4 linked regions of the Notamacropus eugenii genome follow. The protein of the gene in region 3 purifies or fractionates together with the protein of the main gene of each other region. This does not show direct contact. Links are inferred from orthologs where the notes say so. Each region holds a gene or a part of one and is shown on either strand. Other genes may lie near its edges. The genes, in order: SAP30L, ARID4A, SINHCAF and ING2.

Region 1 (7,801 bases), on a different chromosome or scaffold from region 3:
TTTCTGAGGCTATTAAGGAGTTTCTGGCTTTTTTTTTTTTAATCAACATGATCTTGGGCAAGTCACATCCTCTACAGGCCTCAGTTTCATTATCTGTGAAAAATAAGGGTGCTGAACTAGATGGTTTCTAAGCTCTCTTTCAGTCCTAAAAATGCATTCTATATTCTAAGGTTTTTCTTACTCTGACATTCTATGATTCTATAAATACTGAGTCAGCATATACTTTTAACCATTAACAAGAACAAACAGATTTTCTGTAATTCAGGTGATTGAAATTTGGAAAGAGTATCCCCTTCCTCCATTTTCCCCCCTGTTTGCAAATCTGATTTTTAGCAAGACAGCTGTTACTTTTAACTGAAGTCCTGTTCATTCTTGAGAGGAAAATGGAATCTTTCTGAAATGACACCACCTTGAAAAGAGAATTGCTAGTGAATCTATTCCTAAAAAGTACCATTTGAGAAGTGAGGAGTTATTACTTTTAGCAATGCTATTGCAATTCATCATTCTCTTCCTCCTATCCCTAAGATGTATGGAAAAACCACCAAAAACAGTTTAAATTAACGAGGAGAGTTGTAATCTCAATCCAGCTGTAAAAGCATCCAGATGTCAATGAACCTATAAACTGTAGTAAATATAAGTTGTGATTTCAAAAGGGCACTCTTCCGGCAATTGCTAAACAGTTTTAGAAAGGATTTATAAAAGCCCAAACCTACCTGATAATGCAGAACTTTTCTTTTTTCGGCTTATCCTTTAGTTCTACATGAGAGGCAGTTTGATATAAAGCAGGGATGGGGAACCTGCAGCCTCGAGGCTACACATCCAACCCTGTCCGTGATTCAGTCAAAAGGACACACTTGAGGACCCAGAAGACCACATGGAGCCTCGAGGATGCAGGTTCCCCACCCCTGAATGGTGGAATGAGGACTGGACTTGCAGTGAGAGGGCCTGGGTTCGATTCTTGGCTCTTACTACCTGTGGGAAGAACTCATTCATCTCACTTAAGACTTCTTGAATTTTAAATAGACCCTGTCTAGTCTCCTTAACAAATCTGACTCCTTAATAGTGAAACTGCCACTAAACTTGACAACAGATGACACTCTAAAAAGCACTCATTATCAACCAATTAAGAACATCTCTAGAATTGTAAACTAGAACCTCCTGCAGACAAGTTTCCTACAATCAGGTAGGAGGCCCTAAGCGTGTTGTAATCAAATTTAAATTCCCATTCATTCAATTAACAAATATTTATAACGTTGCAAGATGTAGCACAGCGATGCAAAGAGCACTTGAAGGAGGAAATCAAGAGCCCCAGGTTTCTGTGCTGGTTCTACCTCTTCTGAGACATGTGGCCTCAGGCTCAGCACTTCTGCTCACAGGGCTTCAATTTGCTTATGTATAAAATGGGGTTAAAAATCAGCACACATTATCCACCTCATACCTCCGTGGACAGAAAGGGGCTTAGTAAACTAGAAAATGCTACAAATAAGTGAGGCGTTTTTTCGAAACTAGCTAGTATGTTTGTGGGGAAAAGACTGGGTGCAGGGGAAGATTTTTTTGTTTGTGGTTCAGATTTGCATGGGTACTCTAGGTGAGAAAACTCCCTCAATTCTACCAAAGCAGATTGGTAATTGTTCCGCAAATTTCAATTTTGTAGAGTTGTATGAACAGAGAGATTAAGGGACTTGCCCAGGGTCAAAGGTGACACTTGATGACTGGAGGCCAGTCTCTATCCTCAGAGAACATAAGCAGTCAAGATAATGGTTCGGAAAATGGGATTGGTTTATGAAGTTGGATGGGAAAATAATTAAATCTTTATTTTCACTAACTTCTATGTGCAATTTAGCATTTCCTTAAAATCATCATTCTGGGAAGAGGTCTATAAGGGGGCTGATGCACAAGAAAGGTTAAGGAAGGACTCAGTCTATGGAATAAAATACATGAGAGGTGCAAGCAAGGAACTATTAAGGCCTGAAAGTGGAAAAACAACTGTCCAGGAAGGCTCTCTCTCTCTCTCTCTTTTCCCACTCAACGTAAAAACCACTCTTCCTCAGGAAAACAAACAAAAACCAACCCGACCTCTGCCTTATTTCTAGCCTCATCTTTGTAAGCCCACTTCCACAAACAGCAGAAAGCACCCTTCCTCTGTAAGCAGCCTTACCCTTTGGGGGATAAACCATGAGCAACTTGACTATTCTTCAAGAAAAATTCAGGGCGTGTGTTTATGTACGTTCCCCAGGAGGGAAAAGTTAGAAGCTGAAGAAAAGGGACCCCACCACCTTCCTCCTAATATGCTGCAGCTGGAGGGGCTTAGAAATAATCGGTCCCAACCTCCCCCAGCTTACTGATGACTAAACACGGGGAGCAGGAGAGGAGGGATGACTTGCCCAAGGTCACCCCCTCAAATGAGCTTCACGAGAGCCTGCTGACCATAAGGGCAGGGTGAGAATGGGGAGCCCCCGGTGGTCCGTCCGGTGCTGCTTCCCAAACCCTGGGACTCTCACCCCGCACACAACAAAAGAAACCAAGCAACGGCTCTGCTGATCCCAAGAGCTGCCCCGGTCCGGGCTCCAGGCTCCATCTGCCCTCCAGCTCAGGGTCGCCGCCGGACCCCCTCCCGCCCCCCTCTCACCTGGGAGCGGGGATGGTGCTGGGGGTGGGGGTGGGGGGAGGCGGGGCTCGGAGGGAGCCCCGGGTTCTAGCTCGGGGGCGCGCGGGCTGTGTGACCTTGGGCCAGTCGCTTGCCCTCTCTGGGCCTCCGTTTCCTCCCCCGGCGGGGGCGGGGGCACTCACGCTCTTGTCGATGTCCAGCCGGAGTTTCTTCTGCGAGATGCTCTTCTGGATCCTCTTGCTGAAGGAGGCGTTGCCGGCAGGCCGGACGCAGCGCTCCCCGTCCTCGATCAGGCAGCAGCTCTGGCCGTAGCCGGGGGCGGGCGCGGGCGCGGCGGTGGGCGCGGGGGCCGGGGCCGGGGCTGGGGGCCCTTCCCGGCTGTCCTCCTCCGTGCTAAAGCCGTTCATGGCCCCGGCCCCGGCCCCGGGGACGCTCACGGGGAGCCCGAGCCCCTGCCCCCGGGACCCCGGCCCGGTCGCGGCCCCCCCTGCCGAGGCGGTCCCCTCGGCCCCGCCCGCGGGCCCGGCCTCCCGCTGCCTGAGCGCGCCGGGGCCCGGCTCGGCCTCGAACCCGCGGCCCCCGGAGCCCCGCGAGCCCCGCGGCGCCCACTGGGCTGCCCCGCTCTCCCCGAGGCGGCGGCCGCGGCGGCGGCGGAAGTCCCGCCCCCGAGTTCCCATTGGACTCTAGAAGACACGGGGCGTGGCCGGATCCCTCGGCGGCCTTGGTCATTGGGCGACGCGCCCGCCAGTCAGGAGAGGCCGGCTCCTTCCTGGACTCTGCGGGGACGGGTCCGAAGTAGAGAAAGTGCAAAGCCAGAGAGTTGGTGGCCGGGCTAGGAGACGCGGCCCGGGGCCAGCAGCTGCCTCAAGACGGGCGGGGGAGGACGGGGCCACCGAGGGGCAGGCGGGGTAGCGGGGACGGGCAGATCCAGAGGAGGTGGGGGGTCCCAGGGACAGGCGGGATGGACAGAGGCACAGATGGATGGACACAGAGGGACAGGCGGGATGGACAGGAGGACAAATGGGGGCGGACAAACGGAACGGACAAGGGTCCGACTGGAGGTGGACTGATGAACGCAGAGGGGCAAGTAGGATGGACAGTGGGACACAAGGACAGGGGGGATGGACAGAGGCACAGATGGGATGAGTAGACATAGACATAGAAGGACAAGTGGGGTAGACGGGGAGTATAAGGACAGAGGACAGGTGGCACCATGGAGGGGACAGAAGAGAGGGACAGTGGGACAGTCAGACGATGAGGGGCAGAGAGATGGACAACCATAGGGACAGATGGGGGAAAGGGACAGAAAGAAGGAAACAAAGGGTGGAGACACGTTAGGGGAATTTAGAAGGATGGGAAGGATGGACAACGTCACATTCAAGGATGGAGGAATAGACAGACACTGGGACAGAATGGATGGACAGAGGGATAGAGAGACCTAGAAGAGATGAGGACCCAGGAAGAGAAAGGATGGATGAAAGCGCAAATGAGTCCACAGAAGGAATGGGAAGAGAGAGAAGAGCTGGGGGGAGGGGATGGATGAACATGGATAGACAGTGGGACAGATGTAATGATGGGACAGAGTGACAAGAGTTAGAGCAGTAGACTCAAGCGAATATGGGGAGACACGTGCTGTAGGGAAAGGAGAGACATAAAAGGGTTGAAAGGTTATAGGGAAATAGAATCATGTGGAGGGACAAGGACTATTGTATGTATGGGAAGTGGTAGAAACAGGGGCACTGACTGGGTAGGTGAGAAAGACAAGGTAATAGCTCCAAACGAGAAAGGGTTGGACCAGAGACACTCTTACAAGCAGAAAGCTAAAGAAGATCCCAGGATCTTAGATTTAAGCAGGAGAGGACCTCAGAGGTCACCTAGCCAACAGATGAGAAAACTGAGGCCCAAGGAGATTAAGTGATTTGCCCAAGATCATATTGGTAGTTAAGTGTTTTGGATGAGGGGATGGTATTGGGGGAAGAATGAGACGAATTCAAGTCCTATCATTTTTTAAAGTAAATGTTAGAGATAAGATTCAAAACCAAGGAAATGAGTTAACGAAGACAGTGTCTGGTAGCTGAGGATCACAGAAGAGTAAAGGAGTGAGAGGAGATAGTCTCATGAAGAAGCAGAGAGAGTTCTGTCTCTCATACTTTATACCTATACTTCAAAAGAGGAATCATTAAAATTATTAGGAGTATTGATAGCTTGTATTTATAGCTTGCAAAATACTAACAACATTGTAAAGTAGGTATTAAATCAAACATTCAAGTGCCTACTATGTATCAGTGCTATGCTAAGACCAGAGATACAGAGACAGAAATGGATTTACATTCTATTAGGAAAACATGTACACATGTAAGTAAATATGAAACATAAAAAGTAATTTTGGGGGGAAATTGAAGGGTGGTCAGGAAAATAGGAGACCAGAGAGGCCTCATTTAGGAGGTACACTTGAGTTGAGCTTTGAAGGGAGCTACGGACTCAAGCTGTGGTGAGGAAGGAGGGCATCCCAGGCACAGGGGCTAGTTTATGCAAAGGCACCCAGTTGGGAGATGGCATGTGGGTAACATGGCTGTGTGAGGTCACAGAAGAGCCTAACTGTACCACTTTTGTTCCATTAATGAAGAGCTATTTGGAATAATGACAAGTCCAGAGAGGAATATCTTCTTTCATTCATCCCAGTATCACACAAAAAGACAAATTTCAGACATGGGTAGAAGAGTCCTGTTGGAGAAGTCAGTGCCAGTAAACATACTGGAAACCTGCTGCAGCATCCTGCCCTGGGGGACATAAAAACTGTGGCAGTGTCCAGACCAGGAAAGCCCCTAAGGGTTTAGGGAGGGGAAGGACCACACCTTGCTTAATTAGAGTTTACCTCTGAGGTCTGACTTAAGGTGTTAACGCCTGGTAATAACGCAAAAACTACTTATAAAAAAAAAAAATCCCAAAGGTGGTTCTCAAGGCAAAATGCCTTCCACACTCAGAGAAAGAAATATGGAAGTCACTCACAAAATGTAGCAGATCATGTTTGTGTATGGGTATGTGTTTGTGTATCATGTTCTGATTTGTTATACGATTTCTTTCATTTATTTTAGTCTGACTACATAGCGTGACTATAGTGAAAATATACTCAATAGGCAAGTATATGTAGAATCTATACAGAATTGTATGCAGTCGTGGGGAGGGAGGGGGGTAGTGGGGAGTAGGTGGGGGGGGATAAAATCTCAATTGTATGGCAGTGATTGTTAAACATTAAAAAATAAAAAAAAAAAAGATGTTAACGCCTGTTAGTGTTCTGAATGAAGACAAAACAAGAGAAAAGGAAATTGAGATCAAGTGTTGTTTACCTAATTAATCAATTTAAAAGTTTGGTATGGGTTGTGTCTGAATCCAAGGGAGCTGATGAGAAAAGAAGAGGGCCTAGGACAAAACTTTGGAGGAAATGACACCTATGGTTAGTGTATGTGACAGAGGACATTGAGAAGTCAGACAGGTGAAGAGATAACCATGTCACGAATACCTAGAGAGAAGAGAGTGATCAACAGTGTGAAAGCCTGCAGAGAAGTCAAGAAGGATTCTTAATAGACTTACTGAACTCCAGTGGCTCTCTGTGACCTCTAAGATCAAACATAAAAGCTGCTGGCATTTAAAGCACTTCATAACTTTGTGTTGTTTCAGTTACATGCAGCTTTTCATGACCCCATTTGGGGTTTTCTTGGCAAAGATATTGGAGTGATTTGCTATTTTCTTTTCCAGCTCATTATAGAGACGAGGAAACTGAGATAAACAGGATAATTACTTGCCCAGGGTCACACAGCTAGTAAGTGTCAGAGGCTAGATTTGAACTCAGGTCTTCCTGTCTTTTGATGGCTGAAACCCACCTAGTTATCTTAGGGTTTACTGACTAGATTTTTTTCTTAAAGACCATGCCTTAAACCCATTTCGCTCTGGTTCTTATTGATTGGCCAATCTTAGATCCCTGCCCAAGCACCACTTGATAGTTATCTTTTGCCCCCTCAAAGCTTAGAGTGAATGTAAATAGTAATTGTTTCTCTTTAGGCCAGCAACCCTGAGGGCTTTCCCCCCACAGTTTGATTTTTTTTTTAATTTAACGGGTCTTTCTTTGACTCACTTCTGAAATAGGCCTAATCACTAAATGTGTATTGCCTCATTCAAAGCGAGAACTCGGAAAGACCTCAGCTTAAAAAGGCCAAGGCGTCCCACTGCATCCTAGATCATGTCCACTTGCCCTGATCTCTATCTGGCCACTGGAATCAGATGGCTCTGGAGGAGAAAATGAGGCTGGGGACTTTGCACAGCCCTCCCTCAAATCCAATTCAGTTGTAAGCCATGTCATCCTCATCCTGATATGGTCCTCTTCAAGAACGAAGGACAAACTATACAACCCAGTACTCTATCCACTGCTCCACCTGGCTGCCCTTAAGTAGATGAGAGATACTCTTTGAAATTTAGTTTCCCGTCTTCTTCATTCCTATTGCAGGAAATAAATTCATTTCTATCATGATCAGTATGTTTTGCTTGGATAGTGAGCATATTTTCTTTTAAGGTTTTTTTGGATCTTCTGTGTACTGTTCTCTCTGTGTGTACTGTTCAACTTGCAGTTTCAGGTTCAAGTTTTTCTATTCCGTCAATTATTTTTGCTTTGCAGACCATAAATTTCTGTCCTCATAATTCTCATTTCCTTTTTAAAACACTCAGGAACAATGTATTGTGGTTCTTTATTATCCTCAAACTCCACAGGGTCTTCTGTTTTGTGAAGTGTTGTATAGTTTTCCATTTTCGTTCATAACTTTGCCTTTTCCTATCTTTCCAGTCTTCTTATCTTTTCCGGCAACATTATTGGCCTTTTTGCTCTTCCTCACATGTGAAACTCCATCTGTCCTCAAGGACCGCCCTACCTCTCCCTACACTCCTTATGCCAGGGTTTTCTCTCTGAAGATTACCTCCTATCTGTTGTGTGTGTGCGTGTGTATAATAATAATGATATATTAATATAATGTATATAATATATATTCATAGTTATTTACCTATTGTTTCTCTTATTAAAATGTGAGTTCTTTTGAAGGCAGGGACCATGTGTTTTGCCTTTCTTTGTATGTCTAGTGCTTAGCACAGTGCCTGCCATGCAATAAGTGCTTAAGAAATGCTTGTTGACTGACACAAAGTTCAAAA
Region 2 (8,065 bases), on a different chromosome or scaffold from region 3:
GTGCACTGCCATTTCTTTTCTCCAGATATAGAGTCAAAAAACCTTTACCATATGCCAAAAGTTTAAGAATTCAGGAGAATATAGTACATTAATCTTAGGGTTATATTGTTAAAGACCTGAAATGGTCTATATAACTTTTTATTGTTTTAAAGCTTCAAAACACTTAAATCTTCTTTGATACCCTACCTCTAAGTCGAAACTATTAAATTACCACGATAAACATGTCAGTAGAGAGCTTTAACCAAATATTCATTGTAACAACAATAGACACAATGTAACACCTACAAATAAATAAGTATCCATTCAACCTATTTTAAAATTGAAAACATTATTTAATCAGTACTGTGTCAGAAGACTGAGGTTGAAATGGAAGTCACAACAGCTGATAACAGAGAAATAAAACTAATGCTCTTACATTTGAAGCACTAAGATTTTTTGCATTAATATTGCTGGTGTAAAAAAAGAAGCTTCCTTTGGAAATATCTAATTTCAACATGCTGAAGTGGCAAAAAAAAAAAATAGATACTTCATTTTACCATAAACTCTAATCCTCGTGTGAACATGCTTTTGTTGTCTCTTTTATACACAAATCTTATATGAAGCTTAGCACTTATTCACAGAGCTATTTATAGGCACATACATTTAAAAACAGTTGTAGTATACTGTAAGTAGGAAAATAATTTATTTTTCCAACTAGTTGTTTTAAACAACATTCAAACTTTCAAAGTGTCACTTTATTCATTTATTAAATTATATTTACCTTCCTAAAGTTTTAAACTCTGAAATATTTGGAGCATTTTTCAAAGCTTGCTGTCACCTTTCTTCCTGATAAAAATCACAGCAAGCATTAAGAATTTAGGAAAGTGAGGTTTAATAAATGAATAAGGCAATAAATCAATCATGAGTTTGATAAATTAACTAATTTTAAAAGCATATAAATTAATAAAATTTTAGAACTTCTTGTGGCAAAGAAGTATAATCAGGACTATTTTAAACTATCATTATAAAATGTCATTTCTTTCCTATCATCCTTTGAAATGTTCCTTGTTGGAATTATTTTGGAATAATCTTTTCCATTAAAAAGAGTTTAATAACATTTATCATATGGACTGAGCATTAAGCATTGTTTTAATTCAACCTCATGGATTTGTGTAATGCATGTTATTTCTAAAATCCTAGAAAAATTGAAATCTCTCTCCACTAGGCTCCCTCCATTCCATTCCAACTCCACATACATTCTTTGCTCTTTGGGGAAACGCACAAACAAAATCCCCCGAAACTCAAAGATAGGACAAAAGCTATTGTTTTGCAAAGGCCGCTGTCATTAGTGTTTAAAGAAAAATATTCGCCCAAAGAACAACAGCTCAGAGTCGGATCCCCTCGATAGAGTTAGAATTCTAGGGCCTTAGAAGAGGTCGAGGAGGACGGCACTTCATACACATCGATCGCTTCCGACACATTCAATAGATGCTATTTCCCCCCACACTCCTCAATGACTGACAAAGGAATAAAGTTTAAATATACATAAATATATGTATACATATGTATATAAATGCATATTTTTAAAATTCTCAGAACAAAAGTCCCAAAAGCGAAAGCTCAAGAGCAGGGGAGGAGCAGGGATGACCCAAAAGGGGCAGGCCGGTCCCTCTCCAGCGGGGAGGGCCACGCTTATCCCGTTTACCTTCATTTTGGGGGACGATCTAAGAGGTTCCAGCTCAAAGAGAAGTCTTCGGCAGGGCAGGATGCGTGAGGGAGGAAGAGAGAAGTGCAGTTAACCAACAAGAGCCCGAGAAGCCGTCCGAGTAAACAAGCCCCAGCGGGGAGGGGCACAGCCCTCGCTGTCCCAGGTCCGGGAGGAAAAGCAGAGGCCCAAGGAAGAGGGGGGGCGGGAGGAGCCCCCAAACCAGCTTTCATGCCGCCCCTCGGAGGACTTCCCTGCCTCCGCCCCTCTGCCCACTTCCACCCGGGCAAAGTGAAGTCGGGGCTTCCTCTGAGTGCCGCCGGTGCTGGCGGAGGGCGGCAGTTTCTGTTTCTCGGGCTCCTACGGGGGGCAGTCTCCGGGGCGGTCCGTGTCTCCCTCCGCTCGCCCTCTCCCGCCTCTGCCCCCCCCCCCCCCCGCCCGCTTCTCGGCCGCTTCCCCCCTCTCTCCCCTCCCCCCGGTGCCCGCGGTGGCGGCGGCAGCGGCGGCGGTGTGTCACGGCGCCATTGCTCTGCCTCCACCAGCTCTGCACCATGTCAGGCAGGAGAACAGGCTCCGGGTCCCAGAGGGGCAACAGCCGCCCGCCGCCCGAGAAAAAGAGAAAAGGGGAAAAGAGGAGGAGGAGGAGGAGGAGGAGGAGGAGGGGGTGGGGGAGTGAGGGGGTGGAGAAGAGGAAGGGAGGCAGCCGGGACAGGGTGTGGGAGGGGAGGAGAACCGCACAGTGGCAGCCACTGCCTCCTCCCTCCACCCGCCTCAACTTTTTTGTGGCGCTCCGAAAGGCGCCGGTCCTCCAAGCCCCCACCCCGACCCCTCTGGTCGAGCTCGCAAACCCACTCGAGGGAGAAGCGCCGCAGAGTTGGGACCCCTCTCCCGGGAGCAGCCCCGCTCCTCACTCCGCCGGAGCAAACTTAGCGGGGCGGCCACCCCCACAGCCATTTTACTCCGGGAACCGGAGAAGGGGTGGGAGGAGGGAGGAAAAAAAGAAAATCGGCAGCAGCGGTTCCCCCTGCTGAGGCTTCTCCTCTGCCGCCCCCACCCCCACCTCCAAACCTCTAAGTGCACCGGGACTCCCGGGCAGCAGCACCAGCTGCTACTGCCGCTTCGCCCATTCAATAGCCCCCGCTCCTCTTCTCCCTACCTACCAACTGCGGCTTAAGTACGCGCTGTCAGCTCTCGATCCCCCCAGGCACACTGACCCTAGCGGGCCCCCGTCCGGGCAGCACCACTCCTGGCCGCCGCGGCAGTTCCTGCGCCCAGTCCCCCGCTCGCCCCGATTTACTGCCACAATCCACCAAATAACAAGCTGTTGAGCAGACTCGCTCCTACACGAACTCCTATTGGCCCCTCATGACGATGGAGCACCCTTCCGCGCTCCTCATTGGAGCTCGCTACCCGCCGCCCCGATTGGATATAACGCCTTGAGTGCACCGATTGGTAAGAAAAGCAGCAGGTAGGAAATATCGTACTTATGATTGGTTAGCCGAAGAGTCAAACATTATTGGAGGAGTTGGGAATTGAGTCAGTAGATCCTGACAAATGATTGGTGATGATGACTCCGGATGTGCTTGAGTGATCACTGATTGGTGAACTCGGGGGTCAGGAAGAGCGACCCAGAGCGGGGATTGGCAGTGGGTGTCCCATGGAAACGGAACTCATAGCTGCGGAGAGGGGCTTGCACCGGGGGCGGGGCAGGGACTATACAAGGCGCCTGCGCTAGATCCTGTTCTCGGCGCCATTTTGTCTCGGCAGCAGTGGCTGTGGCTCTTTCCCATTTTAAGCTTGTCGAGGAGGGGAGCTGAGACTTTACCCGGTTGACTCGTTCTCATGGACTAGACCTTCACCTTCCATCCCGGGTGAGAGCACAGTGAGTGACTGAATAAATTTGGGATCCATCCACAAAGGTCAACTGAAGGCTGCGGTTAACTGACGGGGGAGGGTGTGTGTGGGGGGGGGGTTGAGGGGATGGCGCAGCAATAGCGGCACTAAGACCGGAAGTGAGGGGGCCTCGCGGCGGCCGCGGCAGAGTAAGTTCCTCACTGGGGGGACGAATGGGGGTGGGGGGAGTATTGAGGCCTTCTCTCCCGCCGGAGAAGAGGGGGTGGAGTTTGCTACCTCTTCGTAGAGCTGGATCTTCCCCTTTTTCTCCTATATGGGTAAAGAAGGTGTGTGCTCGACCCTGGGGCTCCACACCCCTCACCCATCTCTGTGCTTTGCCTTCCCTGATTCTCGTGCAGAGGGGCCGAGGTTTGACTTCTCTAAACTTGAAAGGAGTTATTCTTGCCAGGTGCCCCCTGCCTAAGAAAAGGGCGTTTCCACCCTAGCTTCGAAGCTGGGAAATCCCTGGTTCTCAAGATTCAGGAGTTCTCCTTCCCAGTTTGCCCTGATAGTTGTTCGCCTAAGGTCTTGCTGTGTCGAACTAGAATTCTCTTTTTAAGTGGAGATTGTATTTGACAGGAATGTAGTATGTCCAACAGTCCTCCAGTAATCATTCACCAAGAGGTACGGTGACCATTGATTGATTCGGCAGTTATGTAATGGACCTTTTAAATGAAAGTATTTTAAATCACTTTTAAATCTTAAGTAATGATGAGTCAGAGATTGGGTTGGAGAGGAGCACAGCAACTGGATTTTAAATTTTATTTAGAAAAAACTTGTTTGAACTAGGTAAAGTGTGTGTTGTTCCTTAATTGAGTAGCTTTTTAATGTAAAGAGACTGGCATATGCTAAACTGTATTAACTAAAATTAGAAAAGCTTTGGGTTCTAAGGAATTCACATTATTGTTTATTCTCACAACATCTCTAGTTGACTTTAAACTATTTTAGAGTCAGATTTAGTGAGGTGTAAGTGCTTTGATATAAGTGCTTTTAAAAAATTTCTCTCAATTATTTTGCAGTTTGGCTCTTAAAGATCTGTAGATTGGGTGAATTTGAGAAAGTCATTCAACGTTGTTTCGGAGGTGAGTCCTTATATAATTCTGAAAATATTGAGAATGAGGGGAGGAGGTGGCGAAAACACCTAGGAAATGAATTTTCATGCCTAGTCAGAAGTCTTTTGAGGTAGATTGTGATGTATTGTTGAAAGAAGGGGAAGGATGGGTGTTGTGCTTTTATTTAATAGGCAAAGATGAGGTTGTTTTGGGGTATAGAGAATTAATTGGATGCAGAAGGTATAGCAAAAATAAGCCTAAAATGAGCTTCAAGTAGGCTGGTTTGACTAAGACTTTGTTTAGTGGAAGTGAAACTGGAAAGGTAGGATAGAAACCAGATAATAGAGAACCTTTGAATTTCAGTTCAAAACTTTAAACAAAGTGTTAAAAGTGTTTTAAAGTACCATTCCCAAGATGGCACTTCAGGAAAGATTAATCCATTGACATCTAGAAGGATGCTTAAGAGGTGTTGGAGTCTGGCAACTGTATGACAAATTAGGAAACTATTGCAGTACTCTAGACATAAGACATGGATCAAGTAATGACAAGGGGATCTGGGAGAGAGATATTTGAAGGAAGAACAGGCAGGCTGCAACAAACAACAGATTTTGAGTCTTGGTGCTTTGGGGAAATGATAATTCTCTTTACTGTTCAGCTTTCATTTTGGACTTTACATGAGTTTTATAGTATGTGATCTTTTAGTATAAATGAAATCCTTTTTAATATGTCTTCTAAGGAATTTTTTCCAGTGAAAGCAAAATTGTAATCACAGGAGCAGAAATGTTTTATTTCTTTTCAACTATTTGTAGCTGTTTTCTTTGCATAGCTTCTTTGCATTGTAAATTATTAATGCAAATGATTAATATCCATAATCTTCTCAGCTTTTGATATCCTTTCTTTTTGTTGTACCTTCCCTCCTGGAACCCTGTGTCCCAGCCAGCGAATGTTGAGAATTAGCAAACTATTAATATTAGCTTGAGGAAAACATGATTAGGGAACTACAACTGCAACCTTCTATCTCCCCTATCTTCCCTTCATGTTCATTCATTTAACAGCTGTTAACTGTGCTCCCTATGTACAGTGTGCTGGGTACTAAGTTGATTATAAGATTTGATCACATAAATGTCTTTTAACTTTTCTCATGAAGCAGAAATTTATATTGTAACACACTGAAGCTCCATTTTTGCCTGTGGTTCCAAAAACATATATTTTAAAAATATTCCTGTCAGTCACATTGCTTGTATTATGTAGTACTTACCATCAGGAAACCCTTCTACGTCAGTTATACTTTTATTAAGTTGTAGTCTTGCCCACTAAAATCAGTTGTGATGTCATAAGTGGTATTGAAATTTTTAGCATTAGAATTTAGCAAAGAAGTCTTAAATCCGTTTTTTTTTAAATAGTGGTATAAAATATTGTTGTCATTTCCATGGTGTAGTGATCTTAGAGATGACTGAATTCTAGTGTTATCTTTGATACTTTCTAGCTGTTTGATCCTACTCAAGCACTTAAGTGCCTACCAAGTTGTCAGACACTGCTAGATGTTGGGAAAATAAATTATTTAATCTCTCTGAAGCTCTGTTTCTTGATAAGTAAAATGGGCATAATTATGACTCATGGTGTTTTTGTGAGGAAAGTATTTTGTAATTCTTAAAGTGTTCCATACATAGGAATTAGGTTCTGCATAGATAGCTATATAGCATGTCATGGGATATAATAAATTAGATATGTCCGCAGACAGAAGATCGTAGACTTCAATCTTTTGTGAATTTTTTTAGTAAAATGAGAATTTCTTTTCCCTCTATTAGGGGAATCTATTGATACTTGACATATTCTTGTTTAATTAGGATTAGGATTTACTGGTGGTACATGGTTTCCTTTTTTCACCTACCAATAGCCTCAACCACTTTTGTTGTCTTTATTTCTTCTCTCTTCAGAGTACACAGTGCAAGCTTTGAGCACTTGTGAAGTGACATTTGGGGGGCTATTTGGGAAAAACAAAAATAGCATTGATCAGTGAAGTTAAATTTTTCTTTTTATTTGTATAAATAAATTTTGAAAATCTTTTTTTGAGAAAACATGAATAATTATTAGGTTCTGCTTATGTTATACATCAGTTTCATTCTCTTTTGTTTAATCCTGAGCACTCACAAATGTAAAGACCTTGAGAATTACTGTTTTTCATGTGTAAATATCAGGTTTAGTTCTCAGTGATTCTGATTTCTAGTAGGATGTAGGGTTAGAGAATCTTTTGAAGAATATCATAGTGATTTCCTGATTAATCTTAAGTGCCTTTTTATATATAATTTTTTTTAAAGTTCCTGAAGAGTCTTGATGAAGCAGATTTTTAATTTGTATAAGGATACAAACATCCTCATTCTGATGATATAGTATATGATGTTATTCATAGACTCATGGGGTTAGGAATGGACAATATATCAGAGGGCATCTGAATCAGTCCCCTTATTTTAAAGGTGAAGACTAAGGAAGGCTGTGACTTGTGCAAGGTCATGCGGATGGTAAGCATCAGGGGTAGTATTTGAGCTGACTTCTGACCCCACAACCTCCACACACTATTAAGAGAGGTAGACTAAGTATTATGAATAAGTTGATTCTTGTAAAATGATTTTATGCTTCACTATGAGATAGACTGGACAGCATCACTATTTTTAATTCTTTGTCTTTCAGATTTATCCTGATATTTTGTAGGGAAAAAGTCATCAAAGGCTTTTAACCCTGTTTTCTTACTGTTTCTTGGAATGTTTCTGGTAGGTGATTTTTAGAATGATACAAAAAAAATAAGTTTCAGTTTTTAATATTGTATGGCAATGCTACTACATATAACAAAGTTAGGTAAGAAATGGTACTCTCTGAAATGTATAATGGTTTCAGTAAGCTTTTCCATGATGTTGAGAAGTAGATTTGACAGCTGTAGTGCAGCCAAAAAATTTCCCAATGAATCATTTATCTCTAAAGAAAATTAAATAATAGGTTAATTTCTAACCAGGTACAAGCTCCCGTATTGCTGTACTTTTCCCTTTTGAATTGCATAATCACTGGAATTCATAAATCTTAGTTTTCCTTTATGAACAAGCCTAAATAAAAATATGTTTCAGATTATGGAGTGAGTAGATAATATTTTTAGCAGATTGATAATTTTTGAGCATTTAAAATACTTTGATGTTTTAATATGCAAAGCTTTAGCCCAGGTATTCTAGATAATACAAAGAAAGTTTCTGTCCTTAAAGAGCCTGTGATACAGCTGGAAAGATGGGACATAAATGTGCTTTAAAATTCCTGTTATTTAACAGGAAAAAAATTTATTTAGGAAAACAATGGAAGCAGTATTGCAAGGTAGTGATTAATTGTCACATTTTATAATCACATAACATTAGAGGAGTCAGAAGAAATTGGGAGGAAAAGGATTTGGCAGGAA
Region 3 (7,297 bases):
CCTGCAATTCAGCAGTTGTTACCTCGGGCCGGGAAGGTGTAGATTTCGATTTCCCTTTGCGCACGCGCTGTTCCCGGGACAGAATTCTCTTGAATCGAACTCATTTGCATGGGAGCTCTTGCGCACACGAGAGGGATGGAGGGTGGAAGCCCCAGCGGTCCCGCGCGCCCCCGTAGCCTCTATTGTCCTTTTAAGGGGAGACGCGCCGCGCGGGAAACATGGCGGGCAGGACCAAACGGAGAGGAGGGCGGGGGCTGCTTACTACAGCAGACACGTCACGTAAACAAACGCCCCCACGGGGGAAGAGGCGGAGCGGGCCGGGGACGGACAGCGCGCTGGCTGGAGTCGGGCTGCAGGCGTGAATGTCTTCCTCGTGAGATGGATGCAGGAAAAGAAGACTTTTTTTAAAACGTGCGGCTGAAGCTTCCTTTTTATTTTTATTTATTTTTATTTTATTTTTCCAGAAGCTTCACTTTGCCGGGCTTCCACACCTGCCATGAACTTGAGGTCCAGGGTGATGCGGAGGCGGGTCCGAACTTTTACGTGCTGACCCCCCCTTCGCTCGTGTTCCCAGCCGTTTCTTCTTGGCGGAGCAGATTTTTCGTCCTTCTGGTCTTTTTAGTGGGATATTTTAAAAAGCTTTCTCGTACTCACCCTCTTCTCCCCTCCCATGCCTTGCTTTGTTTCGTTTCGTTTCGTTTTCAGGCCAGTTTCTCCTGCTTGCTTTGGTTGAACGGCTTCTCCATTTCTGTGGCAACAGGGTGGCTGGGCTTCCCCCGGGACTTGGAGAGGCTTGGAGAGCCAGGCAGCCTGGAAGCCTGCAGCCAGAGCCTGCAGACGGACTGTGCACCCGTATTGTATTCATTAGAAATAGCACCAGCCTCGGGACTTGGAAAGTGTGTATGTGGAAGTATGTTGAAGTAGGAAGAGGCTAGTAGCAGTTTCCAGGGTGGGATATCAAAACTAATCGTCCCAACCGTTAGCAAAAATCGAATTTCATTTCAATTGGACGGTTACACAATGAGGAAACTAACATGTATCACTCTTCCAGCAACCTTATCTCATTTTGATGAGTAAGGCTGGAAAAGGAGAGAAACATTGTTGCGAGTTTCTAAATGAATCAGCGTAAACAACATAATTGAATCACTTATTGACAAATTTGATTGTTTACCATTTCAGTGTGATCATGTAGCTGAATGAATTAAGGTGTTATTAAAATCATCGTTGTCGTCATGGAAAAATACCTGGAGCATAATATTCCTGCTAAGGTGTATAAAACTTTTTTAAAAAATTAAAAAGAGGAAGGATGCCATTGGTTTGGATAAATGGACTTATGTGCTTAAAAAAAAAGGAAAATAATGGAATATAATTGATTATTGTTCCATAGGATGTATTTGAATATGTCGTCTAGCAGATGGAATTCATAATCTTCAACTGTGACCTTGTTTTTTTAATCTTTTGCTGACTATTTCAATATAATTTTTTTCATTTTTAATTCTATGTATTTTATGAATTTTAAAATATTCTGATAATGAATCCATAGGCTTTATCATACTGTCAAAGGTTTCATGACATAAAAAAGTTAAGAACCTTTGATCTAGCCAAACCTTATTTTACAGATTAAGAATGAGAGGCCTATAGAGGTTAAAAATGGAGTCCAAGATCATTCAGGTACTAAGTAGCAGAGGAAACATTTGAAACTGTGTCTTTTAACCTCACATCTGACTCTAAATCTGTCCTAGTCTGCCTGTCGTCTAAAAATAATAGAAAATCCTCTTAGTTTGAAAATGTAATTTAAAATGATGTTTGAGTGCAGAGAAAGAAGCACTAATTCAAGATAACCTTGGCTCTAGTCCTGACTCCACAGCCTACTGGTTGTGTGACCTTGGGAAAATCACTTAACTTTGCTAAACCTCATAGTTTCTAATTATAAATTGAGGATGATAATGTTATACTCAAAATCATAACTCACAAGCCTGAAAACAATTTATTTTCTTTTCGAGTAATTCAAGGACAGAATTCTAAGCAAAGTCATTTCATAAAATAATATAGTAAGGAAAGTAGCAAAGGAATACTTTTAATAAACCTGAAACACACTTTCCCAGAGATACCTCTAGGGTTCTTGAATTCAAAGCACAAACCTCTTCCATTCCTCCATATAGATTCCCCATCCTCTGGATGTAGATAAAGCCAAGCCCAGAGGACAAATTCATAATTTCCTCTACAGCTCATTCTTAGTTTTTTCATGGACAGATGAAGCCAAAAGAGAGTTGAAAAGGGATTTAAATCATACCCTTAATATTCCTGTTCAGGTATATCAGGTACTAGATGGCCCCTGAAATTCTTTCCAGCTCTAAAATTTTGTGATTCTATGTTTCTTACTTACATACCCTCCATGTGTGTCTCTGGCCACACAGGCTCCCTACATTCCCCTTGTTCTCTGTGTTCACTCTTCCTGCTGTTGGTATGGATATTTCTGGGAAAGTGTGTACCAGGTTTATTGGAAATTTTGTAAGATGAGAACAATAATAATAAAAACTATTTTTTTTTAGTGAGGCGCTTTTAAAAAGTCTTATTGTAACATTCTTCTCCACTGCTTCCTATGAGACATCAGCTCTGCTGATTTTTTGTGAAGATTAAATGATTGCTATTAGTTATGGTATAAATTGTGTTAAATATGTAAATTGATGAATATGAAAATTAAATTATCCTTTGCCATATCATAAAATTTAAAACTGGAAGGAATCTTAGAGGCTAGTCCCCCTAAAACTGAAAGTGAAAATATAAGAAACTTGGGCAAAATGATCACCTGTCTCACTTATCTTCATATGGTTTTATACTGTAAATGTATAATATATATATAACCAATATAGCCCTTTAAAATATGTGTCTAATGTAATTCTATTCAATAGAATAGTACTTTCTCATTCATTTGAACTTACTGACTTCTTTTCAGAAATTTTTAACTCATATCTATGATTTCTTACTATTATTTTTGATTTGGAGGGGCTTTAATATAAAGAACTGAGAGAACTAATTCTTATTTAACAAAAATAAATAATTAATAGGTTTTTGTCAGTATTTATGTTTCTAAGTGAATAATTTACTCTACTGGTAGCTAATATCAATGCATTAAAAACATTTTTTTTAGTCTAGAAATGCTAATTGTTAGATTTTTATTGGCCATTGTAACTGACTCTCAACTAATAGGAACAAGGCAGCCATACCAATACCCCTAAATTATGCTAATTTGCCAGGTTGTTGGGAAGGACTATTTCTTACCTACAGTGAGCTCTCTTGCAATCTGTGCATCACTTAAAACATCTCTGAACTTACTTAGCCAAGGTTCATATCTTGGAAGATTCTCAATAATAATACTCTGTTGTTTATGGCTCCAAACAAGGTTTTCCCTAGGAACATTTGATTTTGATCCAGTTTAGCTTTTCCTTAGGAGTCTTCATAGTTCTCTTGTGAAGAATGAGACTGACACAGCATCTGATCTTAAGGTGGCTTTATTATGAAGTCCTTCTCTTTGCCAGTACCAAGTGCATCTCCTCCAGGAGCTTGTCCACTACATCACAATCAAACTACTCTTCTTGTAGTTCCTTAATAATATTCTATCTCCTTTCTCTGTGCCTTTGCACAGCTTGTCCCAATCACTTGAATGTACTCGACTGCCCCCTAAAATCCCTTCTGTTTTTGTTCTTCAGTCACTCAGTCATTGTCCAACTCTTTGTGATCCCATAAGGAGTTTTCTTGGCAAAGATACTGAAGTGGTTTGCCATTTCCTTCTCCAGTGGGATTAAGCAAACAGAGGTTAAGGGATTTGCTGAGGATCACCCAACTAGTGTCTGAGGCTAGATTTGAACTCAGGTCTTCTGGACTCTAGGCCTAGCATTCTATCTACTTAGACACCCTGCTGTCTCAAAATCTCTCCTAGCTCCCTTCAAAGTTCAAGTCAAATACCACTGCAAATACCAACACAGATACATGAGCTCCAGCTCCAGGTTCCACCCTCAAAATATTTTGTATTTGTTGTTTGTACGTATACTGGGTATCCCAAAAGTCTTAGTACAGTTTGTTCCCTCTTTCTTTCTCTATACACACACACTATATATGTGTATATATATACACATACTTATGTGTACATATGGATATATGTATATTACATATGTATGTTTGCAAGGGACTCTTTTTCCTTGTAGGGAACAGAAAGAAATACCATTTCATTGTGATCAGTCAGTCAGTCTCTTGGCCTCAACTGCCTGCAAGAGAAGAAGAAAAAATGCCACTCTATTCTTCCCACCACTAGTTCCCTTGTCTGAGCTTCCTAAAGGTCAAACCCCTAGGGATATTGATAACTTGTCTGAACTCTTTCCTCAATGATTAATAAGCTCTGTCATCTCTATTCCCAAAAGATTATGAACTATCATTGTTTATTATTCAAACTCTGTTCCTGACTGCCCACTCCCTTATTCTCATCCCCTCAATACAACCCCTCTTTGCTCCCACCTCCCAATATCTAAAAGCTTCCCATCATTTCCACTGTGCTCTCTGGAATGCTTGCTCCATAAGTAATGAACTTTATTTTTTTCTTAAGTCTTTTCTTTTCCTATCCCTTCCATCTTCTGACTCTTACTAAGATTTGGTTCTTTCCTGACAACAGCCACTCTGGCCATCCTTTCCACCACAATCATTCTCTGACTCACCGGTTGAGGTAGAGGAATTGGAATACTACTTGCTTCACAATGCCACCTCTAAGCATTCAATCTATCATCAGCACTCAGTAACCACTCCTTTGAGTACTAGTGCTGGTAGCCGTTATCTACCAATCTTCAGGACACTCTTTCTTTAAGAGTTTGGTGATTTTTTTTCCTCCCTAATTTCTGCCCTCATACTTGAGGAATTCAATACACATTTTGATACTGCCTGAATACCCTAACTTCCCCACTGTTGTTCAATTTTGTCTGACTGTTTTTTAATAGTTGCAATCAATTTATTAAAAGAGATGATTGATTAGGCATTTCCAATGATCATTTCAACTTCACCTGGTTCAATGAAATGATCTGTTTAACAATTTCAGGACTGTTTAAATCAATAAGGCGTTTGTGGATTATTATCTGAAATCGATCCCAAGTCTTTGAACCTTCACTGCAAGGTTTTTCAGTTGTGATTCCAAGTGTCTTAATGGGCATTCAAACAGGTCCCTTCACTTTCATGTTCTTTTCTTTGGCTCCTCTAATTAGATCAACACACACTTTCTCTAGTGACTTCACATTGAAACTGGTGAGGATGATTTAGTTCCAGTGAATGACTACTCTGGGCTCCACCAGTGTCTTGCCCTTGTCTTTGAATGCCATGGCAGTAGAGGGGCTTCCTGATCCACTTGGAGTAAACAGGCAGGAAATGCCTGCTCCACACTGCTGCAGCAGTGGTACCTTCACCTGTGCATGACTCTTTATGGTCCTGTGAACTGTCCACTGAGTTTTCTTGGCAAAGATATTCGAGTGGATTAAGGCAAATCGACATTAAATGACTTGCCTAGGGTCTCATAGCTAGTGAGCATTTGAGACAGGATTTGAACTCTGGTGTTCCTAATTCCAAGCACAGTGCTCTCTATCCACCAAGCCTAGCTGCCTAAAAATATATAATAATGACTAACATTTATATAGTGCTTAAAAATTTGCAAAACATTTTACAAATACTATCTCATTTAATTGGCACGACAATTCTGGGAGGCAGGTGTTAGTATTTCCATTTTCCAGATGAGGAAACTGAGGCTGAGAGAGGTTAAATTCATTGGTCAACTAGCATTTATTAAGTGTCTGCTATATGCCAAGCACTGTACTAAATGCTAGCGATATGAAGAAAGGTAAGAGGCAATTCCTAGTCTCAGTCTAATCAGAAAGACAACATACAAACAATCAAGCCAAACATAGAATAAACTTGAAAAAAAAATTAACTGAAGGAAGGCACTGGCATCAAAGGAAGAAAGGCTTCTTGTAGAAGGTGAGATTTTATCCGATACTTGAAGGGAGCTAAGGAGGGCAAGAGATAGAAATAAGGAGGGAGAGAATTCCAGACACAGTAGACAGCCAGTAAGAAATGCACCAAGATGGGAGATGAAGCTTCTTGTTTGAGGAACAGCAAGGGTGTCACTGTCACTGGGTCATAAGAGTGCATGGGGCACTGGGGAAAAAGATATAAGAATACTAGAAAGGTTGGAGGAGGCCAGGTTATGAAGGGTTTTAAAAGCCAAACAGAGGATTTTATATTTGGTCCTAGAAGTGATGAGGAGCCATTGGAGTTGACTGAAGTTCCTAGTCGATGAATCACAGTCTTCCAGTCCTCGGGGAACATCTCCAGGTGGAACTGCTGTCTTTTTAAATTTTTGACATTCTGAACTTGATAAATATTGTCAAACACAAAGAACAGAAAAAGTAGCTTGCACATGAAACAACAAATATCCACCATGAACAGCTTGCTCCCTATTTTCTTTAAAATATGTAATAAATTCAGCCTGTTAGTTTTAAAGTTGTCTCAGTTGTCTGTTTCCTTCTAACTCCTTAAATTCTATGATTTTTTGAAATCTTCATTGAAGTGTTTATTCTTCTACCACTATCATTATCTACCGTCTCTCCCCAATTCTTCCTCTCTGAAAGTAAAAAACAAAACAGGCAAAGAAAACAAATATACACATTGGCCACGCTGAAAACCTACATCTAATTGTACAAATATAGTCAGTTAACCTTTATGTCAAGAAGTAAGAAGCATGTTTTATTTTCAGTCCTCTGGAGTTGCAATCAATTATGATTGCGTTGATCAGAGTTCTTAGATCTTTCAAAAATTTTAATTTTTCTTATTTTTAAATTATTTTTTAAAACAATGTATACATTGTTTTTTATAATCAACTGTATATGTTGCTCTTCCAATTCTGCTCAATTCATTCTGCATCAATTCATACAATCCTTCCCAGGTTTCTCCACATCTATTCCTAATGTCATTTCTGATGATGTAATAGTATTTCTTCCTTCCTGCTTTTAGAAAAGGTATTTACAAAGCTATTATTGTAAGAGCAGTCAGCACAAAACACCCCCTCCTTCCACCCCCAAAGTCTGTGACACACTCACAATTGAATACAGAGGAAGTACGGAGCCCAGGAAAATGTGGACTAAAGTTTAGAAAGCATAGTGGCAAAGGTTTGATAACTCACAGATCCTTGAAGTCCCTTTGCCAAAGTTCTGAAGATATTTCCCTTAGGTACACTGTAGTTATTTTCTTCCCCGCTAGCTTGTAG
Region 4 (7,512 bases), on a different chromosome or scaffold from region 3:
TACAAAGGATAATAATAGCTAACATTTATATAGCAACTAGTATGTGCCAGGAACTGTGCTAAGCACTTTACAACCATCTCATTTGATCCTCACAACAATCCTGAGAAGTAGGTGCTATATATAATCATCCCCACTTTACAGACAAGGAAACTGAAGGAAAGGTCAAATGATTAAGTCCCACTGCTAGGAAGTGTCCGGGGCCACATTTGAATTCAGGTCTTCCTGACTCCTAGCTTGGCTCTGCACAGCACCACTAGCTCTCACAATAACCTTGTCAGGTGGGACTTAAATCTGGATCCCAGCTCTGCTTACAACCTGTGGTCTTGGACAAATCACATCTTCTCTATGCCTAAGTTTTCTCATCTGTCAATCTGTCACATGAAGGTGTTAGACTAGATTTCCTCTGAGATATCTATTTCATATCCATACAATAAAATTATTATGGCCATTTTACATATGTGAAAACTGGCGCTGAGTTAAACTGACCTGGTCAGGGTTATGTGACTATCACTGCCCAATTCAACTGGTGTTTGTCTTCTGACATCAAACTCGGTACCCTTTCCCTTACACTGCACAGAGTATGAGAAGGCCATAAAAGTAGGATACCTGCTTGTAAGGGAGTTAGAACTTCATTTGTTGGGAAATGGAAGGCCTCCCTGTGGAGGGAAGCCTTGAATCCACTTGATGACCCACCAGCTGGACTTACAGCGACTGCACAACCCCGGAGTGCATGCTCTAGGGTGGTAGCAATGGGACCAAGGGCAAAATGGAGAGAAACCGTGGAGGTGAAAATCAAAAAGACTGATTTGGATTTGAGTCATTTGGGGGTTTTTTGGTAGGAGGCTAAGCTAAACTTGGCTGAGTCTGAGTTATGGACTGAACATTCATGTAGAGGAGAAAATGAATCTTGGTGGAAAGAGAGCCCTGAAGATCAGGAGCCCTCAGCTCTAGTAGGGACCTCGCTCTTCCATGAATTAGCTGCATCCCACTGGGACGAGCCTTAGTTTCCTCATTTACAAAATGAAGGAATTAAGTTCTTTAAGGCCCTTTGCACTTCTAACATCCTGTTTTAGATGTTAACTGTCGAAAATGAAGAAAAACTCAAGCCAGAAAACAGAGAAAGGCAGGCAATATTATCGTAGTTGATCTCTGCAGGATTTTATCCTCCTGACAACGCTGGGAGTTCGGGGGCATTAAGACTCTCATTTTGTCCAGTGCCCCCCCTCCCCCCCAGTAAACTTCCGAAGTCGAATGCTCTAACCCAGGTCGGAAGCCGTCTACATAAAAGTGAACGGGCCACATCAATCAATGACCCTTGAAGGAGGATGGAAATCAGGTGGGCGAGACCTCGGAGGGGGTTCATGTCAAACGCTTTCCAGAAGTTCAAAGGGCATAGACTTCAAAATGACCAGTTTCGGTGGAACGGTGGGGCCGAGGGCAGATCGCAAAGGGTCAAATCCCCCCGGCTCCAAGTAGGGTGGGCTCCTGCTGCCCCTCACATGGTCTGACGGACTTCGAGGACTAGGAAAAGTTTCTCCCTAGGCAGCCTCGGGAAGCTGGCATCCCTGCCGCGGGCAGAGAACGGAGGGCTGGGGGCGGGAGCATCTTCCAACAAGGGCTGGAACCTCCCGACGTTCCGGGGAGGCCAGATCTGCGGGGGCCCGAGGCCCGGCCGGCCGACCCTCCCAGTCCTGACCCCCGGGCCGGCCCGCTCCACTCGGAGCGCAGCCCCAGCTGGGCCGGACCGGGCAGGAGGGGGCGGGGCCGCGATGACAGGGGGCTCCGGCACCCCTCCCCCCGCCCCCGCCGAGGCAGCGCCCTGGGCAGTAACGAATGCCTTTCGGGGCAGGGGCCGAGGCGGCGCTCGGAGCCTCCGGCCCGAACCCCCGGACTGGCCCCGACCCCGCTCCGGAGCCCCATTAGCCAGGCCCCCCCTCCCTCCCCGGAGGGGCGGCCCACCCCGGAAGTGACGCAGGCGCCCCGGGCCCCACGCGCCAGCTGCGGGAAGCGTCTCCTCCGAGCCGGGGCAGCCGCGGGGCGGGAGTCGGGCAGATCTGCGGCCCGCGTCCCCGGGGCTCCCCGCGGCCCACTCACCCCTCGAGTCCCCGGCGCTACGCTGGGAGGCACCGCCCACTCCAGGGCAGAGACCCGACCCCCCCCCCCGGCCCCTCCCTCCTTTAACTGTTTAGCGGAAGGAGTGGAGCCGAGGCGGAGCAGCCGTCCCCGGGCCCTGCCGGCCCGCCTCCCCGGGGGGGGCCCGGGCCAGGGAGACCTCCGCACCGGGGCAGGGGAAGGAGAGGGAGGGGCCTTCCCGGGGCCCGCCCCCGCTGCCCTCTCCCCCGGCACGTTCCACCGAATCGGCCTTTGAGGGGTGGGGGGCGCGGGGCCGAGCTGTCCTCCCCCGGAGCTCCTCCTCCTCCCCACCCGGGGCAGAGCCGGAGGAGCGATCCCCGCTAATAAAATGGCTGATTCCGTGCCCGAAGCAGCCCGGCTGCCGCGCGCCCGGCCTGCCGCCCCACTCACCCTGGTACTTGGTGTCGATCTCTCGCAGCACGGACACGTTCCGCTGCATGTCCAGGGGCAGCGACTCCACGCACTCGAGGTAGTCCTGCACGTAGCCGGACAGCAGCCGGCCCCGCTCCCCGGCCAGGAGCCCGGCCGCCGGGCACAGCTGCTGCTGCTGCTGCTGGCCCAACATCCTGCCGCCGCCGCCGCCGCCTCCGCATCCAGCGGCCACACATGCACCGCCCGGGCCCCTCGCGGGGGCGCAGCCGACCGCCTCCCCCGGGGGGGACCCTCACATACCCCGCCGGGGGCACACGTCCTGGGGCGGAGCGAGATCAGCGGCCCCCCTCAGCGCCCGGGCGGCGGGGCTCCCCGGCCGTGCCGCCGCCGCGGGGACTCGGGGCTCGGGCGTCCCGGACGGCTGCCGGGGCTCCGCGTCCCCCTCGCGCCCGCAATCTGCTCCCGCTTCCCTTCGCCGCCGAGCGCCCGCTGACCGTCCCCCTTCTCGTCCCCCACTTTTCCCAAGTACCAGTGTGAGTGTCGAGGTGCGAGTGTGTGAGAGTGTGTGTATGTATGTGTGTGTGGGTCTCTCCGGCCCCCCCTCCCCTCCGACTGCAGATGCCTCTGCGCTTGCGCAGGGCTCAGCCCTTATAAGGCTCGGTGCCCGCCCCTCCCGCCCGACAGAAGGGTTCGCATTCTCCCGCCTTCCTCCGGCCGCCCCGGTGATTGGTCAGTCATCTCGCGGCTGGGGGAGGTGAAAGTAGGAGGGAAGGAGGAAGAGGAGGGGAAGAGGACAAACGGCAGGCTCTGCCCCGCCCCCTCTTAAAGGAGAAGCGCTGTCACCCCGCCCCTTTGCTCAGTCTAGGGTGGCGAGCCGGCTAGCCGGTGGAAGTGCTGTTGTCCCGCCTCGCTGCCCCTTGCCCTCCTTCCGCCCGAACCGTCTGGAGTCCGGCCCGACTCCGGCTGCACCCCGCTGACGAACGAGCTCCCCTCTGGGAGATCCAGAGCGGCTCCCCCCAGGCGTAAGATGGAGCAGTTGGCGGCCCCTTTTTCCCTTCAATATGGAGCGAGGCCGGAGGAGACTGCAGTTCCCAGAGTGCAGCGAGGCCCCGGGGCTCCCGGCATGCCGCGCGTCCAGGCTTGGCTCGGCCCCGAGCCCCGCAGGCCCCGCCCCGCAGGCCCCGCCCCACAGGCTCCCTGCTCCGGGGCTCCTTGAGCACGTGGGCGCTGCTGGCTTGGGAGGTAGGCGCCCTCTCCCCCATCCCTGGGTTCTCTGGGCTTTTTTGGGGGGGTATTCTCGCGGTCTCTCCTGGCGTGGACTAGTCGGGGCCCGTGGGCCCCTCCGCTCCTTCCAGGCCCGGCTCGCCGGCCTGGCCTCCGGGGTCTAGACGGGGATGGTAACCTGGAGCTTTTTCCCAGGCCGGCCCTCGGCTCCCTCCCTCCCTTTCCCCCCCCTGCCCCTCCCCCAGCGATGCCAGCGGCTGGAACCGGGGCCTGCGGTCTGCGTAGCTCTCCATCCGTATCCCCCATTCTCCTGCTGTCGCGTCCAGGGGCCCCCAGGTGTCCCCGAGAAGCCGCGCACCCAGGAAGCCCTTGTAGGAGCTTTGGGGGCGCTCGGTGCTGAGAGGGGCGACTCCCCCGGGGGCGGGCCCCGATGCCCAGGATGACCCGGCTTCGCGGCTTCCCCAGATGTTGGCCACATTTCTGCCTGTGGGCTTTGCCTTGGAAACTCAAAGCTGCGCTTGTGGGTTCTGTTGGGTCCCGCGAGGCAGACTACCCCGCGACGTTCAGAGAGCCGCTCGGGGTCCAGCATGCGACGTGTGCGGAACGTGGAGGCCAAATAAACCGTGGCCCAGCCGCGGGTGGGGTGGCATCCTTTGGGCCGCCCGGGTTGTTAGCAGGGTCCTGTGATGTGCAGACGCAGCATCTCTGCGCCTGTGCTTCGTGCCTGCCACACTCCGCTTTGTCTTGTATTTAGAATAATAGTGATAACAGCCCAGCGGAGCCTGGGCTTTGAAGGGTTATGAAGCGCCCTACATGCGTTAGCCCCTTTCACCTTCGCTACAACGCTGGGCCCCATTTCCTTTTCTCTCTCCCCCTCCCCTCCTTTCTCGTAACCAGCTGAAACTGAAGCTGAGAGGGCTTGAAAGGCCGGCCCCGGCTCCCCCAAGGGATCTCTGAGGCCGGCCTGAACCCCGAGCCCTGTGCTGCCCGCCGCCTCGCCTTCCTCTGTGGCTAGTAAAGAGAACAGTTACCGAGAACGTCCGTGGGTGAGACACTTGGGTGGCAGAGTAGCCACCAAACAGTTGCTTCATGTAGGGAGTTTCCTTTGTAGGAGGAAGCTGGTTGTAGTAGACTGAGCACCAGACTTGGTTTTTGGAAGACCTAGGGTGAATCCTGTCTCAGACATTTTAATGCCGCACACAGCAAATTCACTTATGTTTCCTTATCTGTAAAATGGAAATAATAATAGTATCTCCCTGACAAGCGTTGTGGAAGGTCAGATGAAATAATTTGTATGGCATTTTTAAACTTTAAAGCTATCTGGAATGTCAACTACTTCTGCTGGGAGATAACAATATGGAGAGGCTTAAGTGAATGCAGTATAATGTTAGGAGAAAGGAATCAAAGTGGTTTTCCCTACAAACCAGAGGTTTTTTTTAAAAAAATATTGATAACTGCATTTCAATATAATTGGTTTCTTTGTAATCCTGTATCTTTTGTGCATTTAAAAACATTTTTTGGAGGGTCCTTGGGCTCTCCTAGACTACCCGAGGGGACAGTGACACAAAAAAACTGAACAACCCATTTTAGAAAGTGGCTTGAGAGCAGAACCTTGACGGAAGTTAAGGATTCCTGGAGAGGCAAAGAGTGCTTTGGGGATTGAAGCAGGAGATGAAATGTTCAATTCAGAGACCAGAAAATATGGTCTTTGGACTAGATGTAAAGTCTATGGAAGAAAGCAGTGTGATGTCTCAAAGGCACCTCAGAGCCAGGTTGGGCAGCTCTGTAAGTGCTAAGCTGAGGAATTTTCACATTTTTAAGTAAGCATGTAAGATGATCTTTTTCTGCTCTTAAATTTGGCACAGTGCCTTACAGGTAGGTATATGATAGATGCTTAATAAATGTTGGTTTACTTGAATTGGACTAATTACTTAATAACTGAGGTTCTGTGTAAAATGAGGGTGTGAGTCAATCAGTAAACACTTATTAAGTGACTGCTACCAGCTAGGCATTATGCTCATCGTGAGGGATGCCAGAGGACTTGAAGGAGCTCACAGTCGAATGGTTGTGGCCTTCCAGCTAAGACATTTTAGTATGGTGCCCTGAGGAGGTGAAATGCTTTGTTAAGTGCAAACTTTGCATTTCTGGGTGCTGTGTTAGAAAACTTGAGATTTAAAGAATTGTCATTAGGTTAAATCAACCAACCAGGCCCCCTCAGCAGCCAGCAGACTAGCTGTGATCGCTAGTGAGTTTGAGTGTTACCACCTGTGTGTACATTTTGATTTGTCTCTTCTGTGCCTCATTGTTTTTAGGTATATTTCCTTATGGAGTTGATGAATCAGTATTTATAGAACACCTGTTACTTTTAAAGCACTGTGCTGGGCACTGGGCATACTCATTGTTAAATAACGCCACACCTCTTTGTGATGCTTGGGACTTGACAAAGTGCTGACCTCACAATGCCCTTGGAAGAAAGTGCAGATTTTCTTTCTCCATTGACTGCTGAGGAAACTTCACTTTGTACCACACAAGGTATCTGTAGTTTATGGTCTTTTGGGAGTCTAGTGCCACAGCTCTCCAGGCTCAGAAATTAGATTGTGTCTAGGTGAACCTCAGGGCAGAATGTCTGGAGCAGCAGTTCTCGAACTATTTGGTCTCTGGACTTCTTTACACTCTAAAAAATTATTGAGGACCCCAAGCTATGAGGCTTTTGTTTATGTAGGTTATAGCTATTGATATTTACCATAAATGTTTTTTAAAAATATAAATTTATTAATTTAAAAATAACAGTAACAAACTCATACCATGTTAATAAACTCAAATAACAGCCTGACCCAGGACCCAGCAAGGAGTCAGCCAGATGAATGACATGTGTGTGTAAGGCAGTTTGGAGGTGTTAATGTGTAATGTAAAAAGTCTGGAAAGACAGGCTGGAGCCGGAATAGGAAGGGCTTTCCATGGCAATCTCCTCTTGAGTTTATATTGTGGTACAATGGAAAGAGCACTGACTAGAGAGAATACCTGGCTTCATATCCCACCTCTGATGAGTGCTAGTGTATGACCTAAAGGGGATCCTGAATTTGATCCTCCAGGCAAGAGAAAGCCCCTGGAGAGTTTTGGTTAGGGGAATAATATGATAAGACCTAGGTTTTAGAAATCTCATTTTGGCAGGTTTGGAAAATATCCTGGGTGGCTCGGATAGATTAGTAGTGTTGTATGGTGAAAAAATGAGTGCAGGCCACCAGGGTTCTAGCCTTGTCTTTGCCACTAACTAGCTCTGTGACCCTAGACAAACCACCTCGCTGTTGTCCCTTGATTTCTTCAGCAAGATGAAGGATTGATGAGGCTCTCAAAATTTGAGAGTAGTAATCAGGATGCCGTGGAGTTGCCTGCCTGGGGAAGGGCATGTGCCATGGTCAGATCCACCCTGGAAGAGTATCATTTTGGTAGCTGAGGGGAGGATAGGTTGGAAGGGGGAAGAGATGGGAGACAAGGATACCAATTGGAAGCACTCTGCACTGCGCTATTTTTATTCTAGTCTTGGCAGGAGGCGATGCAGGTCTAAGCTAGGGGGTGCCAGTATCTGGAAACAAGGGGGTATTCTTTGAAAAGTGGGAAGTTGCCGATGGCTAAGCAACTTGCTGAAAGTTACAGAGGTGGTGAGGTGTAGCGAGGGGACTAAATCTCAGTGCTCTGTCCACCACTGCAGGAATCTACCTGCTTTGGTGATTTACTGACCGCCATTCGTTTGGGAGTGAGACATTTCTGACACCGTTAGTCAGA

Evidence for each region.
Region 1: the proteins of SINHCAF (region 3) and SAP30L purify together in Homo sapiens (affinity purification with mass spectrometry; 3 studies listed by BioGRID and IntAct, counting the BioPlex papers as one, with this or other methods). This does not show direct contact. The link is inferred for Notamacropus eugenii from reciprocal best matches to the Homo sapiens genes SINHCAF and SAP30L.
Region 2: the proteins of SINHCAF (region 3) and ARID4A purify together in Homo sapiens (affinity purification with mass spectrometry; 3 studies listed by BioGRID and IntAct, counting the BioPlex papers as one, with this or other methods). This does not show direct contact. The link is inferred for Notamacropus eugenii from reciprocal best matches to the Homo sapiens genes SINHCAF and ARID4A.
Region 4: the proteins of SINHCAF (region 3) and ING2 purify together in Homo sapiens (affinity purification with mass spectrometry; 3 studies listed by BioGRID and IntAct, counting the BioPlex papers as one, with this or other methods). This does not show direct contact. The link is inferred for Notamacropus eugenii from reciprocal best matches to the Homo sapiens genes SINHCAF and ING2.

Annotation. Positions count from the first base shown.
Region 1 is NC_092872.1:382,823,316-382,831,116, reverse strand, and holds the start of SAP30L (histone deacetylase complex subunit SAP30L), read right to left. Parts: upstream 3,099-7,801; 5' UTR 3,016-3,098; coding exon 2,791-3,015; intron 1-2,790.
Region 2 is NC_092872.1:301,127,116-301,135,180, reverse strand, and holds the start of ARID4A (AT-rich interactive domain-containing protein 4A), read right to left. Parts: upstream 3,109-8,065; 5' UTR 2,845-3,108; intron 1,731-2,844; 5' UTR 1,691-1,730; coding exon 1,685-1,690; intron 1-1,684.
Region 3 is NC_092874.1:215,685,678-215,692,974, reverse strand, and holds the start of SINHCAF (SIN3-HDAC complex-associated factor), read right to left. Parts: upstream 3,076-7,297; 5' UTR 1-3,075. UniProt on the Homo sapiens protein: Subunit of the Sin3 deacetylase complex (Sin3/HDAC), this subunit is important for the repression of genes encoding components of the TGF-beta signaling pathway.
Region 4 is NC_092878.1:101,933,909-101,941,420, reverse strand, and holds the start of ING2 (inhibitor of growth protein 2), read right to left. Parts: upstream 3,093-7,512; 5' UTR 2,699-3,092; coding exon 2,524-2,698; intron 1-2,523. UniProt on the Homo sapiens protein: Seems to be involved in p53/TP53 activation and p53/TP53-dependent apoptotic pathways, probably by enhancing acetylation of p53/TP53. Component of a mSin3A-like corepressor complex, which is probably involved in deacetylation of nucleosomal histones.